Linked DNA regions of Danio rerio. The protein of the gene in region 3 purifies or fractionates together with the protein of the main gene of each other region. This does not show direct contact. Links are inferred from orthologs where the notes say so. Each region holds a gene or a part of one and is shown on either strand. Other genes may lie near its edges.

The links.
Region 1: the proteins of slc7a1b (region 3) and stx4 purify together in Homo sapiens (co-immunoprecipitation; 3 studies listed by BioGRID and IntAct, counting the BioPlex papers as one, with this or other methods). This does not show direct contact. The link is inferred for Danio rerio from reciprocal best matches to the Homo sapiens genes SLC7A1 and STX4.
Region 2: the proteins of slc7a1b (region 3) and stx12l purify together in Homo sapiens (co-immunoprecipitation; 3 studies listed by BioGRID and IntAct, counting the BioPlex papers as one, with this or other methods). This does not show direct contact. The link is inferred for Danio rerio from reciprocal best matches to the Homo sapiens genes SLC7A1 and STX12.

The regions. Positions count from the first base shown.
Region 1 is NC_133187.1:22,373,614-22,378,786, reverse strand, and holds the start of stx4 (syntaxin-4), read right to left. Parts: upstream 3,315-5,173; 5' UTR 3,161-3,314; coding exon 3,131-3,160; intron 2,021-3,130; coding exon 1,913-2,020; intron 1,161-1,912; coding exon 1,061-1,160; intron 917-1,060; coding exon 842-916; intron 734-841; coding exon 663-733; intron 556-662; coding exon 447-555; intron 1-446. UniProt on the Homo sapiens protein: Plasma membrane t-SNARE that mediates docking of transport vesicles. Necessary for the translocation of SLC2A4 from intracellular vesicles to the plasma membrane.
Region 2 is NC_133191.1:7,958,714-7,963,950, reverse strand, and holds the start of stx12l (syntaxin-12), read right to left. Parts: upstream 3,315-5,237; 5' UTR 3,303-3,314; coding exon 3,218-3,302; intron 2,870-3,217; coding exon 2,759-2,869; intron 297-2,758; coding exon 227-296; intron 1-226. UniProt on the Homo sapiens protein: SNARE promoting fusion of transport vesicles with target membranes. Together with SNARE STX6, promotes movement of vesicles from endosomes to the cell membrane, and may therefore function in the endocytic recycling pathway.
Region 3 is NC_133190.1:8,445,066-8,450,177, forward strand, and holds the start of slc7a1b (high affinity cationic amino acid transporter 1b), read right to left. Parts: upstream 3,132-5,112; 5' UTR 3,023-3,131; exon of another isoform or gene 2,849-3,022; intron 1-2,848. UniProt on the Homo sapiens protein: High-affinity, low capacity permease involved in the transport of the cationic amino acids (arginine, lysine and ornithine) in non-hepatic tissues.

The DNA of each region.
Region 1 (5,173 bases), on a different chromosome or scaffold from region 3:
ACTTACTAACATCATGGTATGTTCTTCATTAGTTGTTTACATGTTAAGACTTTTTAATTAAAAAAACAAATGGAATGCAAAAACTTTGAAGTTCAATATTTCAAAATCATTCAGAATGCAGATAGAACCTTATAATTCCAAGGAGACGACTTATCTATGTCACACGCGTGCTCTGATTCGTTCCTGAATAACCAGTCAGTGTACTCTCTTCAGCTTATGGTCTGACATCGATTCTAGACACTGAATCAGGCCATTGAACAATGTTAACCCGGCGAGAGTCGACACGTAGAATACACCAAACCAACTAGCCTGATCAACGGACAGACAAAGTCCAACAGCAGACCATTGGCTTGGTGTGTCCCAGGCCTTACAGTGCATTAAAAAGATGGCTTTGTAAGAATGCTAATAAGATCAATGAAAAAAAGCACAGCAGAATAAGCACATACTGATTTTGAGTTGTCTTTTAATCCTCTCCACATTTCGGTCTCTGTATTGGGCTTGAATTGTATTACAGCGACCCATCAGTTCCAGGAATTCACGGGACAAAACACCATGCTTTCAAAAAATGATGAGGAGACATACAAGATCAGATTATTCTCAGGCAAAACAACACTGTTTAAGTTTAATTATTTATTAAAACATGAAATATAAAAGCAACTGACCTGAGTTCTCCTCATTCTTACATTCACTGGGATATATTTTTCTTCAACTTCCAATTTCTTAGGTTCAAGACCTATGATGTAAATGAAGTGATTAATTTTTCACATTTGTTAGGTTGAGCAGAAAAGTTTGATTGTCAAAAAAAAAGCTTCATTTATAAAATTTTATTTATCAGTCTCACTTTTTAATTTCTTTTGGATCTGGCTGGCCATCCCTTTGATGTCTTCTCTGAGTGACTGCAGTTCCTTTTTCATACCTGTGCTCAAAGAAAAATATAATTTACTCATTCACTCACTATCCTTTAACTTACTCTCTTCATAATTATTAATTAATACACACACACAACATAAGATTATGTAAATGAATAATAAAAAACCCAAGTGAAAGCTAAATTACTTACTGTCCTCTGGAAGTGCAACTCCTAGCACTGTTTTCTGCTTGTTCTCCAATTCGGAAACCTTTCTCTTAAGAGTTTCAAGTCCCTCTCGAATCTCCTGAACCTACATAGAAAAAAGAAAATATATTTTTATGTCAAGTTTCAATGCAAACTTTCCAAGCACAAATGTTATGGAATTCAAGTGACCCAAATGTAATTTATGTGTAATGTTTGACATTACATGAAGTTTGCACAAACACTAAACAGCTTCATTCCTTTATTACTGTTTGCATGTGCATGTTCCTAATCTACGGTGGTGGAGAGAGAGCTCAAATGTACTGTAAGCTAAGATATGCATATAGAAAAACCAAACTAAGAAAATGTGTTCATTCGTTTGACAATATGTGTAAGCAAATTCTCACAACACATGCACATATGCAAAGAGCACATGACAGAAATGTGTCAGGGAACCCCAAAAGAGACAAACCCAGCTACTTCCTGTTTAGAGCCTGTCAGGGTTGCTGTCTGATGGTTATTTTAATGTCCTGGTCGTAAGGTTCCTTGTTGTTTGTACATTTTTTGCATTAATAATTGATAAAAAATGCTTTTTTATTGGTGTTTTTTGTTGGTGCAGTACATTTGAGCGCTCTCAGCCACCGTACTAATCAGTATTTGTGAGAAACCTGCAGTGTAGAAAATCACAGTTCAGAATTGCAGGATTTCTAAATTATATTATACAAGAACCAACAATACACACTTCAGTTCAAAAATCATTAATTACAGAAACAACATGCTACTTCTGTACAGATCCCTAAAACTAGTGCATAAAAGTATTGAAAGTTGCAGTTAAAATGAGAGCAATCGTGCTACAATGACCTTTTTAAAGAAAGCTTCATTTTCTTTGTCTTCATTTGCTGAGGTTCCAGATCCAGGCTTTATCATTAGAGCTACGGTTTCTTCATCTTCATCTGAGGCATCAGCAGTCTAGTAAAAGAGTACACAATACGACACTGAATATAGTTAAGAATATTGTTATTAATAAATTTTTATATTGTATGTTATCATATTTTAAAAATATTACCACCATACAAAGTGCAAGACAGTGTTTCTGCAGCTTAGATAAAGGTAAATAAGGTTAGCAAAATATCTATTTTAAATAATACCTCAAAGTTTAAAAAAAAGTAAACAGATCTGTTATTTCTAAACTTACAAAAAAAAGTCAAAACTGAATAGCCATTAAAAATGTTACTCTTCTCATCACATTACAAAAAACATCTTCCACTATATTCGTCGTTTTGCAAATGTGTGAAAGTCTTAAATCAAGATATATTTTACATTTACTTGACATGTTTTATGAAAAATATATATTTGAATTTAATTAATTTAGGATTACACAAAAAGTAGCTTTAAGGAAAAACACGTTAACATGACAGATAGTGTGTTTTATTGTGTGTGAATTTATTAACATTATAGTTTTTTTGCTTTTACAGGAAAACGAAGTAAAAACCATATACAGGAGATTCATATTTTTCAGTATGTGCAACATTTAGTGTAAAAACTTTGTGAAATTAACCCTTTGTGACTCTCTTTGGGACATTTAAAGGTATTTGTTTGTCGAAAGGCAAATGTAGTCCCACAGAAGAAACTGCAACAACACAATTACGTGAAAAAACAAACGGATGATAATAAACCTTTATTGCCGAGCGAATGACAGTGTATTAATAATAATACAACTAAAAGTTAAGTACCAATTCAACGCTTAACTTTCTTGTGAGAAAAACTAAAATCAATATTCAAATGCAACCATTCATGGCAGCTGTATTTATTTGTAGGCTAAATAAAGTTACACCCCGTTTACCCAAGAGCGCTGGTGCTGCAAGAGGGTGTTAGCCTACCGTTCGTGGACTTTAACCATATATTTTTCCAACACAAGAAAATAAGCCACACAACTATAGATTGTGACTCGTTACAATCCTTGAAGGAGTTAATAAATCGCAGTCGAGCCAGTGGTGACAGTAGTTACATCCGCTGAATAACATTAGCCCGTTAGCCAGTTAGCCGGTTTCCTGCGTGCACTGCCCTGAAATTACTCACATTGCCCAGTTCTTTGGTCCGGTCCCGCATTTTCGATGTATTTTATGGCCAGCTCAGATGAAATGTTCCCGTTTTTAAGAGGTGTAGCTCATCTGTCTCCTGACCATAAACTTGCAAAACTCACAACAGATAAGAGGGAGTTTCCATTGAAAGTCACATTTCACGCCAGCCAACTTCCACAAATAACTTTCAGAGCAGAATATTGATGGACGCTGAGAGATGCTGTGTATATCTATGCTATATGGATAAACTCTGGTTATGTTTAGAGATCAGTGTGGGGCGATGTCGCTGTATATGACTTTACCGTTTTCTTCTTCTCTATCAGTTTGCGGATGTCTGACAAATCCGTCAAGGCTCTTACTGCCCCCTACTGAGCGACACGACTGAGGCTATTTAAGGAAGCCAATTTCCGCCAGAGAATAACAGTTTTTATCTTTTCCCGCTTTTTGTTTCAGATTTCTGAGATTTAAAATCAAAATTTCGAGTTATAAAGTCAGAATTCTCAGACATAAAGTCACAACTGTGTGATATAAAGACATAATTTTCACATATAAGTCATAAAGTCAGAACTCTAAGTTACAATTCAGAGATTAAGTTACAATTTAGAGTTATGAAGTCAGAATTCTAGGATAAAGTCACAATTCAGAGATATAAAATGTCACAATTCTGAGTAAATAAATAAAGCAAGAATTTTGAGATATACTTCACAATTACAGGTTTTGTCAGAAATCTGAAATATAAAGTTGCAATTGTGCGATATAAAGACAGCATTCTGAGATATATGTCACAATTATATAAAGCTATTACATAAGAGTTATAAAGCCAGCTATAATTAGCATTGCCGGCAGCTAGCCCTCTGCAACTCTCATGGTTGAGCAGGGCTGCGCCAGGTCAGTTCCTGGATGGGATACCACATGGGAAAGCAACTGTAGGTTATTGCCACAAGTGTGTTAGGGAGACCAGCTCAACCTGCTGTCTGTATGTCTCCTAACACGCCGGTACATTAATATACTGTCAGTGAGTCCTGTCTTTCAGATGAGATGTTAAACCTGACTCTCTGTGGTCGTTAAAAATCCCAGGATGTCCTTTGAAAAAAAAGAGCAGGGGTTAACCTCGGCATCCTGGCCAAAGCTGCCTACTAGCCTCTGTCCATCATGGCATCATAACTCTATCTCCACTCCACCAATCAGCTGGTGTGTATTCTGGTGCAATATGGCTGCCGTCATTCTGGTGGATGCTGCACAATGGTGGTGGATGAGGAGATTCCCCCACCCCCCAAAAAATGTGTAAAGTGCTTTGAGTGTCCAGAAAAGTGCTATATAAAGTTAAGGAATTATTATTAAAATTCTGAATGCAATAACTACTTCAAAAAAATTACTCAGTGGCGAAAACGGGCTTACATATCCACATGGGTGCATCACTCAGTAGGGGGCAAAAAGAATCTGAGTTTTGAAGTCAGAATTGCGAGTTTTAACGGATATCAGATCAGTAATTGTATAAAGAAAGAAAAGAAAATCGAAAGCTGGAAATCATAAACCTAAAAATAGATTTGACAGGAAGAACCAAAACTGGAGATTTTAAAGTGATGACATGAAGAAGTTTTTGCTTCCCAGAAGAGCATTATAGTGAAAAGTCTTTCAAAGTACCATTTTAGTTTACTGATTAGCATGTAAACACATACAAACCCAACAATTAGATTTTTTTTTATAGCTCTGCGCTTTGCGGTTTTAAGCCTCCTTGTTAGAGCAATCGAATCCCATGCGGAAGGTCGCCGGTTCGATACTAGCTTGGAGCGGATTGGGTGGCGTGGAACTGGCAAGGTAACATAAACAGAAACGCACACAGTGATGACAGAATTCTTATTTTCGGGTGAAATATCCTCTTAAGAATGTGATCTTATGAAAGATAATATTCCATGTTAGCTTTATATAACTTTTTATTTAACACGAAAAATTTAATTTTCTCATGTAAACAAAGAAAAACAATATGGCATAATTCATTATTTGCTTATAAAACAGTCATAGTTGAATTCAGCAAATTAAC
Region 2 (5,237 bases), on a different chromosome or scaffold from region 3:
AGGTGCAGAACTTGCAACGATTTGGTCCAAACCGAACCAGACGTGAGCCGACGTAAGGCAACAACTCAGCTGGGTTTTGTCAGCTCTAGTTGTTTGGTGTCGACTTGATGTATACCGGCCTTTAGTCATTGAACAACTTAGTGTAGCTATAAACCACATAGACCTGTACACCAACACCCCCCTCCCCCTCTTGTGGCTCTGATGTGATGAAAATAACGGCACTCACAGTCTGTCCTGAAGTTCAGGTGTGTCTGGTCTCGTGCCAAGTTGGAACAGCATGCTCTTGATTTGGCCAGCTATGCACAGAAAATGTGAGACATTATAAAAGGTAAATTATATACACACACACACATAAATGCATTTATAATTTAATGCATTTTATTCATTCATTTATTTTCTTTTCCAATTAACACTTGGATGTGCCAAAACTTTCTTCAGTTGAACAAAGAGAAAACTGAAGTCATTGCGTTTGGGAACGGAGATGAGGTTCTCAAGGTGAATGCGTACCTTGGCACTAAAGGTCAAACGACAAAAAATAAGATCAAGAATCTTGGTGTGACTCTGGAGTCAGATCTGAGTTTCAATAGTCATGTCAAAGCAGTAAGTAAATCAGCATACTATCATCTCAAAAACATTGCAAGAATCAGAATGCTTTGTTTCCAGTGAAGTAACTTCTTCATGCTTTTATCAGCAGCAGGGTGGATTACTGTAATGGACTCCTCACTGGCCTTCCCAAAAAGACAGTGAGACAGTTGCAGCTCATCCAAAATGTTGCAGCCAGGATTCTGATCAGAACCAGAAAATCAGAGCACATCACACCTGTCCTCAGGTCTCTACACTAGCTCCCAGTTACATTCAGAATAGACTTTAAAGTATTGTTACTGGTCTATAAATCACTAAATGGCCTAGGACCTCAATACATTTCATATATGCTCACTGAATACAAACCTAACAGATCACTCAGATCTTTAGGATCATATAAACTAGAAGTTCCGAGAGCTCAGTCAAAGCAGGGTGAATCCGCCTTCAGCCACTATGCCCCCCGCTGCTGGAATCAGCTTCCAGAAATGATCAGATGTGCTCCAACATTAGGCACATTCAAATCAAGACTGAAAACACATCTGTTTAGCTGTGCCCTTACTGAATGAGCACTGTGCTGCGTCGACAGATCGCACTATTATGCTTTTCTTTTCTTTTTCATTATCTTATAACATATTTTAACACATTTTTATCTGTTTTATTTATTTTTATTCGTATTTTTATAATTCTTATTATTTGTTTTTATTTTCTTACTCTTGTTTCTTTTATTCCTGTTTATGTAAAACACTTATAATTGCCTCTGTGTATGAAATGTGCTATATAAATAAACTTGCCCTGCCTTGCTTTTCCACTTAGTCCCTTTAACAATACGGGGTCGCCACAGCGCAATGAACTGCCCATTAATACCTATTCAAACTAAATAGTTAAAGATTTAACAGATAATGCAATCTTTTCTTTAAGGAACTCTTCGCCAAGTGAAAAACATAATTCATAATTTACTCATCTTGAAGCCATCCTAGATGTACTGTACAACATGCCTTTCTATTTCAGACAAACACAGAGTTATTAAAAAAAAAAAACTTCCCATATTTTTTATAGGATTTGATGCTGCCCCAGTTTAAGATTTCCATAAAAATAATCCATATCACTACAGCGTGTTATTCAATGCTCTCTAAGGGGAAAAAAATCTGTATTGACATACAGTAAGAGCCAAGCTATCACATATGAAGTAGGACATAAACATGGATAATTTTAATATAAATAATAATACAAATGTACAGGATATCCAAAACTGCCAAAATTCTAATTTAAGATTTACACTATTTCATCGAGTAACATGTTTCTGGATCAATATCTGTGTTTCCAATCAGCCAATTAGATTTAAGGAATACGTTTACAGTTATGTTTAAGTTTAGGCTTACATTTAGGGTTATACAAATCTACATCAGTATATTAATCCCCTCTGATTTTGGGAATAATTTACAGTAAGGGTTAGGCTTATCATACATAGGCTACTTCCCTTGAGAATGTGCAAACTGGAAAAGCATTAAATGTGGATATTTTTCTGACAAAAACTAATTCCTTCACTACAGAAACCATCTTTACCCATGGAGTCGTCATGTGGATTATTTTTTTAAAATTGATGTGTATGTGTAGAAAAAAAAATCAAGCCAGAAAATTACTTTGTGTCATTGTTTTTGTGCTTGTCTAAAAGAAGAAAGGTGTCTTCAGGGTCAGTAAACTGTTTACACTGCAAAAAAATGCTTTTCTTACTTAGATCTTTTGTCATGTTTCTAGTCCAAATAGCTAAAAAATTCCTAATTTAAGAATAATTTTCTAGACAAGCAAAGCATATTGTCTTGTATTGAGAAATAATATTCCAATATTAAGTGAGTTTTTCCTTAATACAAGCAAAATAATCTGCCAATGGGGTAAACAAAATAATCTTACGTCAAAAGAAAAAACAAGATTAATTTGCTTACCCCATTGGCAGATTATTTTGCTTGTTTTAAGGAAAAACTCACCTAATATTGGCATATTATTTCTCAAGACAATATGGTTAGCTTGTCTAGAAAATGCTTCTTGACATAATAAATTTTAGATATTTAGACTAGAAACAAGACAAAAAATCTAAGCAAGAAAGGCATTTTTTGCAGTGTAATTGCACGCATTTCATTTAAACGATCACTTAAAGTGTGTCTGCAATATATCTACTTACTGTTTTGTGTGATTTTCTGGATGTTTGAGCTGCATGTCTGCGTGAGGTTGTTGAAATCTCTCGGCTGTGACTGTGAGTGGCTGCTGTCCATCATTCCGTAAGACATGATGACTGAAAAACAACAGCTGCATGATCAGATGCCATAAATCACATTCACTTTAGGTTAACTGTGTTCGCGCATTAAATATAAATAAACGACTTATTTTATGTACAGGTTACACATTTCTGAAAATAGCAGTAGATAAAACACGTAAATGAATAAACCTGAAACAAATACAGAAAATGTAGGCTACTGCGTACGCAACGCAACACATTTCACGTCGGTAATGGCTCAGCAGGCCTGTCGCTGCAATAAAACAAGGACTAATTATGTACGTCTGAAATTATGTAAATATGCTTGCACGAATGTCAACAAAGCGAACGGTTTCAATACGTAAAGAGTGAGAATGAATCGCATACCTGTAACTGTGATGCTCAGATGCGGCGGCGATGCGCTGCTCCTCTCACAGAAATCGAAATGAATAGAAAGGAAACACACGATCATAGCGGTAACACTAATAGGCGGAGCTTAGATTTCTGTTTTGACGGGTCTACTTTAACTTATTTCTTTTATTTGCTTTGTTAATGTCGCTTAATGTTAATGTTATTATTATTATTTCTATAATGTGCAAATTATTGACTAGATAATATGACTAGAATCACGCTGGACCATTACAGCTGTCATGTGTTACTTTTGGGTTTTGGCAGTGAAACAGCCTAGCCTACTATATTCAAGTGTATTATACATAGTATAGCTTGTTTATAACTTTGTTAATGAATGCCACAGTAGTAATACAGTGTGTATATACACTTTATTAGGTACACCTGTATTTTGTAGACACAGTTAAGACGATCTGCAGCAGTTCAAACCGAGCATCATTATAGGAAAAGAAAGGTGATTTAAGTGACTCTGTATATGGCACGTTTGTTGGTGCCAGACCGGCTGGTCTGAGTATTTCAGAAACTGCTGATCTACTGGGATTTTCACGCACAACAATCTGGGTTTACAGAGAATGGTGCGAAAAGAGATAATATCCATTGAGCGGCAGTTCTGTGGGCGCAAATGCCTTGTTGATGCCAGGGGTCAGAGGAGAATGGTTAGGCTGGTTCCAGCTGATAGAAAGGCAACAGTAACTCAAATAACCACTCGTTACAACCGAGGTCTGCAGAAGAGCATCTCTGAATGCACAACACGTCCAACCTTGTGGCAGATGGGCTACAGCAGCAGAAGACCACACCGTGTGCCACTCCTGACAGCTAAGAAAAGGAAACTGAGGCTACAATTCACAAAGGCTCACCAAAATTGGACAATAGAAGATTGAAAAAACATTTCATGGCCTGATGGCTCTCGATTTCTGCTGCGACATTCAGATAGTCAGAATTTGGCATCAACAAAATGAAAGCTTGGATCCATCCTGCCTTGTGTCAACGGTTGAGGCTGGTGGTGGTGGTGTAATGGTGTATTTTCTTAACACACTTTGGTCACATTAGTATTGTTATTAGTATTGTTGCTGACCATGTCCATCCCTTTATGACCACAGTGAACCCATCTTCTGATGGCTACTTCCAGCAGAATAACAAGCCATGTGATAAAGTGCGAATCATCTCAGACTGGTTTCTTAAACATGACAATGAGTTCACTGTACTCAAATGGCCTTCACAGTCACCTCAATCCAATAGGGCACTTTTGGGATGTGGTGGAACTGGAAATTTGTATCATGGATGTGCAGTCTACAAATCGTGAAATGCTTTCATGTCAATATGGACAGAAATTTTGGAGCAATTCAATCTTGTTGAATCTATGCCATGAAGGATTAAGTCAGTTCTGAAGGCAAAAGGGGTCCAACTTGATTCTAGGTGTACCTAATAAAGTGGCCAGTGAAACAATTCTACTGTATGGTTTCAAAAAAAAAAAAAAAAAAAAAAAAAAAAATATATATATATATATATATATATATATATATATATATATTTTTTTTTTTTTTTAACCATACAGTAGAATTAAAATGATAATTTTACATAAAATCTAATTATTATTATCTAATATATATAATAATAATTACTGTCATTTTAATTCTACTGTATGGTTCAAAAATGCTATAGTATTTACTAAAAACTATAATAGCCTTTATCAGTGTGGATGAGCATTGTATTAAATGATTGTAAAATATATATTTATTTTATGCGTTTTTTGCCCAATTTATTACCAATGACTCAAATATTTTGAGCCACAGGGCGCCCCCTGGAGGAAGATAACGTTTGTTTAATAGAAAAGCTATGAAATGACAACATTTGGCACCTAAATGTCTTCTACAGAATAATGGCTGGATTCATACTACACGGTTTATGTGCGTGCGTCACACACTTTGCCTTTTGTATACCGTGTTTTATTAATAATGCAGTACAGTTATATCGCCTCTTTCAATGAAAACTGATTTCA
Region 3 (5,112 bases):
AGTAAACATCTTGATTTAATGGTGTTTATTTATTGCATTAAAAATATATTATTTAATGGTTAAAACCAGTATTTTAACAATTTAAGATGAGCATTAAGAATTTAATGAGCAAAATTGCAACATTAATCTATTATGTAGTATGTTTCATTGTTTTTTTAGGCATAATTAGGGCCACTCGGAATCTGCACGTGCAGAAATACGCAGATTTACACACATCTTTAGCCCATCATTTAACTTGAGTAAATATATAACGTATAAATTTATATTTATTCAGTTTTTAATTTCAGTAATATTGACAAACATGAAAATGGTTATATGATTTATTTACAATACAGTTTGTAAAGTGATATTTTGTGTTTTTTAGTAAATATATTATGAGAGACTTGCTTTGCTCACCAATTAAGTGGATCTAATTCGATTTGCACTAAAAACATTAAATAAAAGTTAAAACACTATTATTTCTTTTAATTTCATATAGTTTTTAGTTATGATACAACCATCATTCTGCATAAATCCACAGATTTTTATTTGTTTATTTTTTTTTACAAAAAATTCTTTTTACAAAATTCTGTGCAGAAATAGCAAAAAAAATTAAAAAGTCATACTACACTGGTGCTGCACATGCATAATAATATCCGCTTGTTAAGTGTGACGTCACGTGGAGCGGCTTCTGGGTCCAAGCGCTCTATTCAACTGAATAGGGAGATTCATGAAATGGTAATTATAAACGTTTACAAAGCGATTTAATACTTTCGAAAGTCATGATCGCAATATATATGTCCATGCCTAATATCCAATGGCCAGAAAATGATTCATTGTTTTATAAATTGTTAAAATTGTGGTATTTGTTATGCAGCAAACCCAGAGATTGTTGTGTACACTATGACTTTATGTAAAATTAACTTTAATGTGTGATAGGAATAAAACGCGATCATAAACGAAAGATTTCTCCACTCAAATGAACGGCGGCTTGGACCCGGAAACAGTATACATACGTCACAACACGTCACCACTTAACAAGCGGATACACAAGTGTAAATTTTGTAAGCATAAACCTTTCTTTCAGATTTTTCTTAAAGATCTAAATCTTTATATGTCTTTGATTTCCGAATGTACTAACAAAAAAGCTGTAAAAACTGTGAATCTGTTTAAAAGATACATTTCTGTTTTGATCCCTGGCATGTAATGTAATGTAAATGTTTCAGTTTGTTAATAAAAAAAAAAAAAGCTCATACTTGTGTAGAAGCACACATTTTAAACTGATATGCATCTGCATTATATATTTTGGCTTCAATGTGTACTCAACTTTCAGTTTCATTAATCTACTCATAACTATTATTCAATGCTTTTCTTCACACATAAAGAATAGAGTACCTGACAATAAACATAAGTTACACCTTCGAAGCACATTTCAAACACTTTCCAGGTGCATTCTTAAACTTTTCAGAGTAAAGATTCTAATAATGCTGAATAATTGAATGTTTATTATTAATATGGATATTACAAAGGAGTGTTGGTATTATCGCGTAGTAATCAGTAAATACTGGTTCTGCTATGCACATTATGGAGGCAAGTTACGCATTACATATACTAAGCTGTTTTGTGATAAGCTTATTTTGCTAATGAATGAAACAATCCTCGTTATTTTTTTTCATTAAAACAAAACGTATCAAGTCACCTTGAACCTCAGCCGTTTCTTTGCTTGTATACGATTCAAATTAATGGGGTATTTGTTTTATGAAAATAATTATTTTGCGCTGAGACGAGTTTGGGGGTATGCATGAAAACGAAACAAATTTCCCGCATTTTGACGTCATAATAAAGCGCAACCCCCCGTCTAAAACAGCAACAATGCGGACTGTCCCATGCGCGTGGCGCCTCACTACGCTTGTACATTCAGAAATTTGATTCATTTAGCAAATCGGTTCTTTTGAAAGGTTCAGTTTATTAAACAGTGAAAAATGATTCGTTCATTTATACGCTCGCATGCATGTTGTTGTTCTGTACTGTTTTCAATTAATGACCCATATAATTAACCATCAAATGCATATAAATTAACCATACATAAAACAAAATGTTTATTTTGCACTTACATTACATAGATTGATTTTAAATTGGCTACAGTTTAAAAACATCTTATTTTTTATTTCAAACACAGTTAAAAAAAATTCGAAACCCTCATACTATGTGAATATAAATAAATATGCATATGAAGAATTTGTATTAAAACTTGTTTGATAGCCTATATTATCCTTTAGATGTGTAATATTATTTGGAAATTGCGACTCGGTTCCTCTGAATCAAAAGAATTGAATCTAAAACTTTGGTCTGGAATCATAAAGCCCGTGCCGTGACAGAAGAGCTAACGTTACAGATCAGTGAATGTATAACTGCAGCAACCAGTTAAAAAACATTAGAAAAACGTTAATTTAATGCATTTCCCAATGATGGGTTGCAGCTGGAAGGGCATTCCCGGCGTAAAACATATGCTAGATAAGTTGGCGGTTCATTCCGCTATGGCGAGATGAATAAAGGGATAAGCCGAAAAGAAAATGAATGAATGAATAATTTAACGCAATAGTGGGCATTTTCGCAAACCAGTGTTTCTGCTCGTAATGGTTTTGTTTGAGGTTTGCTCATACATTCTGCTCTTTTTCAAGTCTAAGTTAGAGCACAATGAATCACACGCGCTCTGTACAAGGACGTGCCAGCTTTCCACGTCAACGATTTTAATGCTGAAACAAAGACTGGATAATCCCTAACACATTAAACTAGATTGAACAGATTCACACTAGTTAACCATCATCTATTCGCATACGTATTTACGCGGTAACTCCTTATCTCTCACCGTCCAGCGTTGCATCAGCCCTTAAATGGACAGCAGCCAAGCATGTGCATCACAGACACGACAATACAGAGACGATTTATAAAGCAACTTAAAAATAGTTCACAGCATCAAAAAGTGCGCTCAAATGAGGAATAATCCAGACACAGCTGTTCTAAAAAAATCGCACGTGCTTACCTTTAGGAAGTCGAATTAATTCACTCAACGACCTCAAAACTGACACATTCCAACTCGACGAAAAATAAACATTCAACCGGCAGACAGCAGCAGCTGACTTTCTATTCTTACTAGTATTTTACTATAAAATACTAGTACCCCTTCACCCTCGAGTAAACCCCACCCATAAGGGATCATTGGTGGTTTTCTACCATCCTTCCGCGTTGCCAACACCCAAACCGAGAGCGTTCTTGTCTCATTTCCATCCCGTTCATTTGCATTCACATGGAACGTTAAAGGGGCAGTTACCAAGTTACAAAACTGCTTTCTCGCTTTCTGCGGTAAATGCACACCAAGATGTAGGTATGTGACTTTTCTCCCTTAAAATTCCACTTAAGGGCAACACCGTAAATAAATAAATAAATGAATAAATACAAGTTTTTTTCTGCTGTGGCGCGATCTGACCCTTAGAAAAAGGACATAACGTTAAGCTGCGATTGAAAGCAAAATAAAACAAATGAATGGATTAATTCCTGCGTCCTCAATTTTTTTATTTAATAAAAAAAACTTTTTAGTCATCATCACAGGAACTGCAGATAATCATATTGGTGTATGCCATATAAAATTTAAAACAAAATTCTTTAAAAAAATGTGATATTGTAACTTATTGACCATTTATTGTTGTTTAAATAATGATTATAGGGCCTACAACAGCATAATAATCCAAATACAGTAACACTTTCAAGGAACAAAACCTTTTCATTCTGATTTCTGAAAGGGTTAAAAAAATCTGTTATAAATTACTCACCTTTCTGGTTTCAACCCCTCAAGACATCTTCAGAACACAGATTAAGATATTTTAGATGACTGCTCTCTGGTCATCCATAGACAGCAGTGATCCCAAGACATACAATGAACCAACATTCAATGAAGCTCCAAGAACATTTTACTGCACAAAAAACCCCATAAAAAAACAGAACAAACGAACAAATAAAAACCCTGTAAAAATGACTTAGTTCGCCAACATTTTAAATGCCACTTATTACAAATAGTACAATATATTGCCATTAAAGTCAGCAGTGTTACATGCCAGGGACATATTTCCCATAGTGTTTATAGTGGTCTGTGCGGGACTGACTTTCTTATAGTGGTCTGTGCGGGACTGACTTTCTTAGTGAATAATAATTATAGGGAATACAACAGCATATTATTCCAAATAGACAGTAACATTATCAAGGAACAAAACCTTTTCATTCTGATTTCTGAAAGGATTAGTTTTCAGATCTCTCCAGAGATGTTTAATTGGATTTAGTTCTGGGCTCTGATTGGGCCACTCAAGGACATTCACCGAGTTGTTGTGTAGCCACTCCATTGATATTTTGGCGGTGTGCTTTGGGTCATTGTCCAGCTGCAAGATGAGCCGTCGCCCCAGTCTTAGGTCAAGAGTACTCTGAAGCAGGTTTCATTCAGGATGTCCTGGTGGTTACAAATATTTTCCACTTATGTCTACTGTGCTCATTAGAACTTTCAGAGCAGCAGAACTGTTTTCTGTAACCTTCCCCAGCCTTGTGCCTTGAGACAATCCTGTCTCAGAGGTCTACAGACAATTCCTTTTTCTTTATGCTTGGTTTGTGCTTTGACATGCACTGTCAACTCTGGGACCTCATATAAACAGGTGTATCAACTGAATTTACCACAGATGAACTCCAATCAAGCTGCTGAAACATCTCAAGAATGATCAGTGGAAACAGAATGTACCTGAGCTCAATTTAGAGCTTCACGGCAAAGGCTGTCAATACTTCTGTACATGTGATTTTTTATTTTTTTTATTTTTAATACATTTTTAACAATTTAAAAAATATACATATTTTTCACATTGTCATTATAGGGTATTGTGTGTAGAATTTTAAGGAAATAAATTAATTGAATCCATTTTGGAATAAATCTGTAACATAAAAAATTGTGGAAAAAGTGAAGCGCTATGAATACTTTCCAGATGCACTGTAAGTAGGCTGCAGCTTTGAACCAGAGCTCATTTGGAAGACTTCTTTCAAACTGTCAGTAGTTTTTAGGAAAATATGAAAGCTGACCTTTTCTTTTCTAGCTGTCAG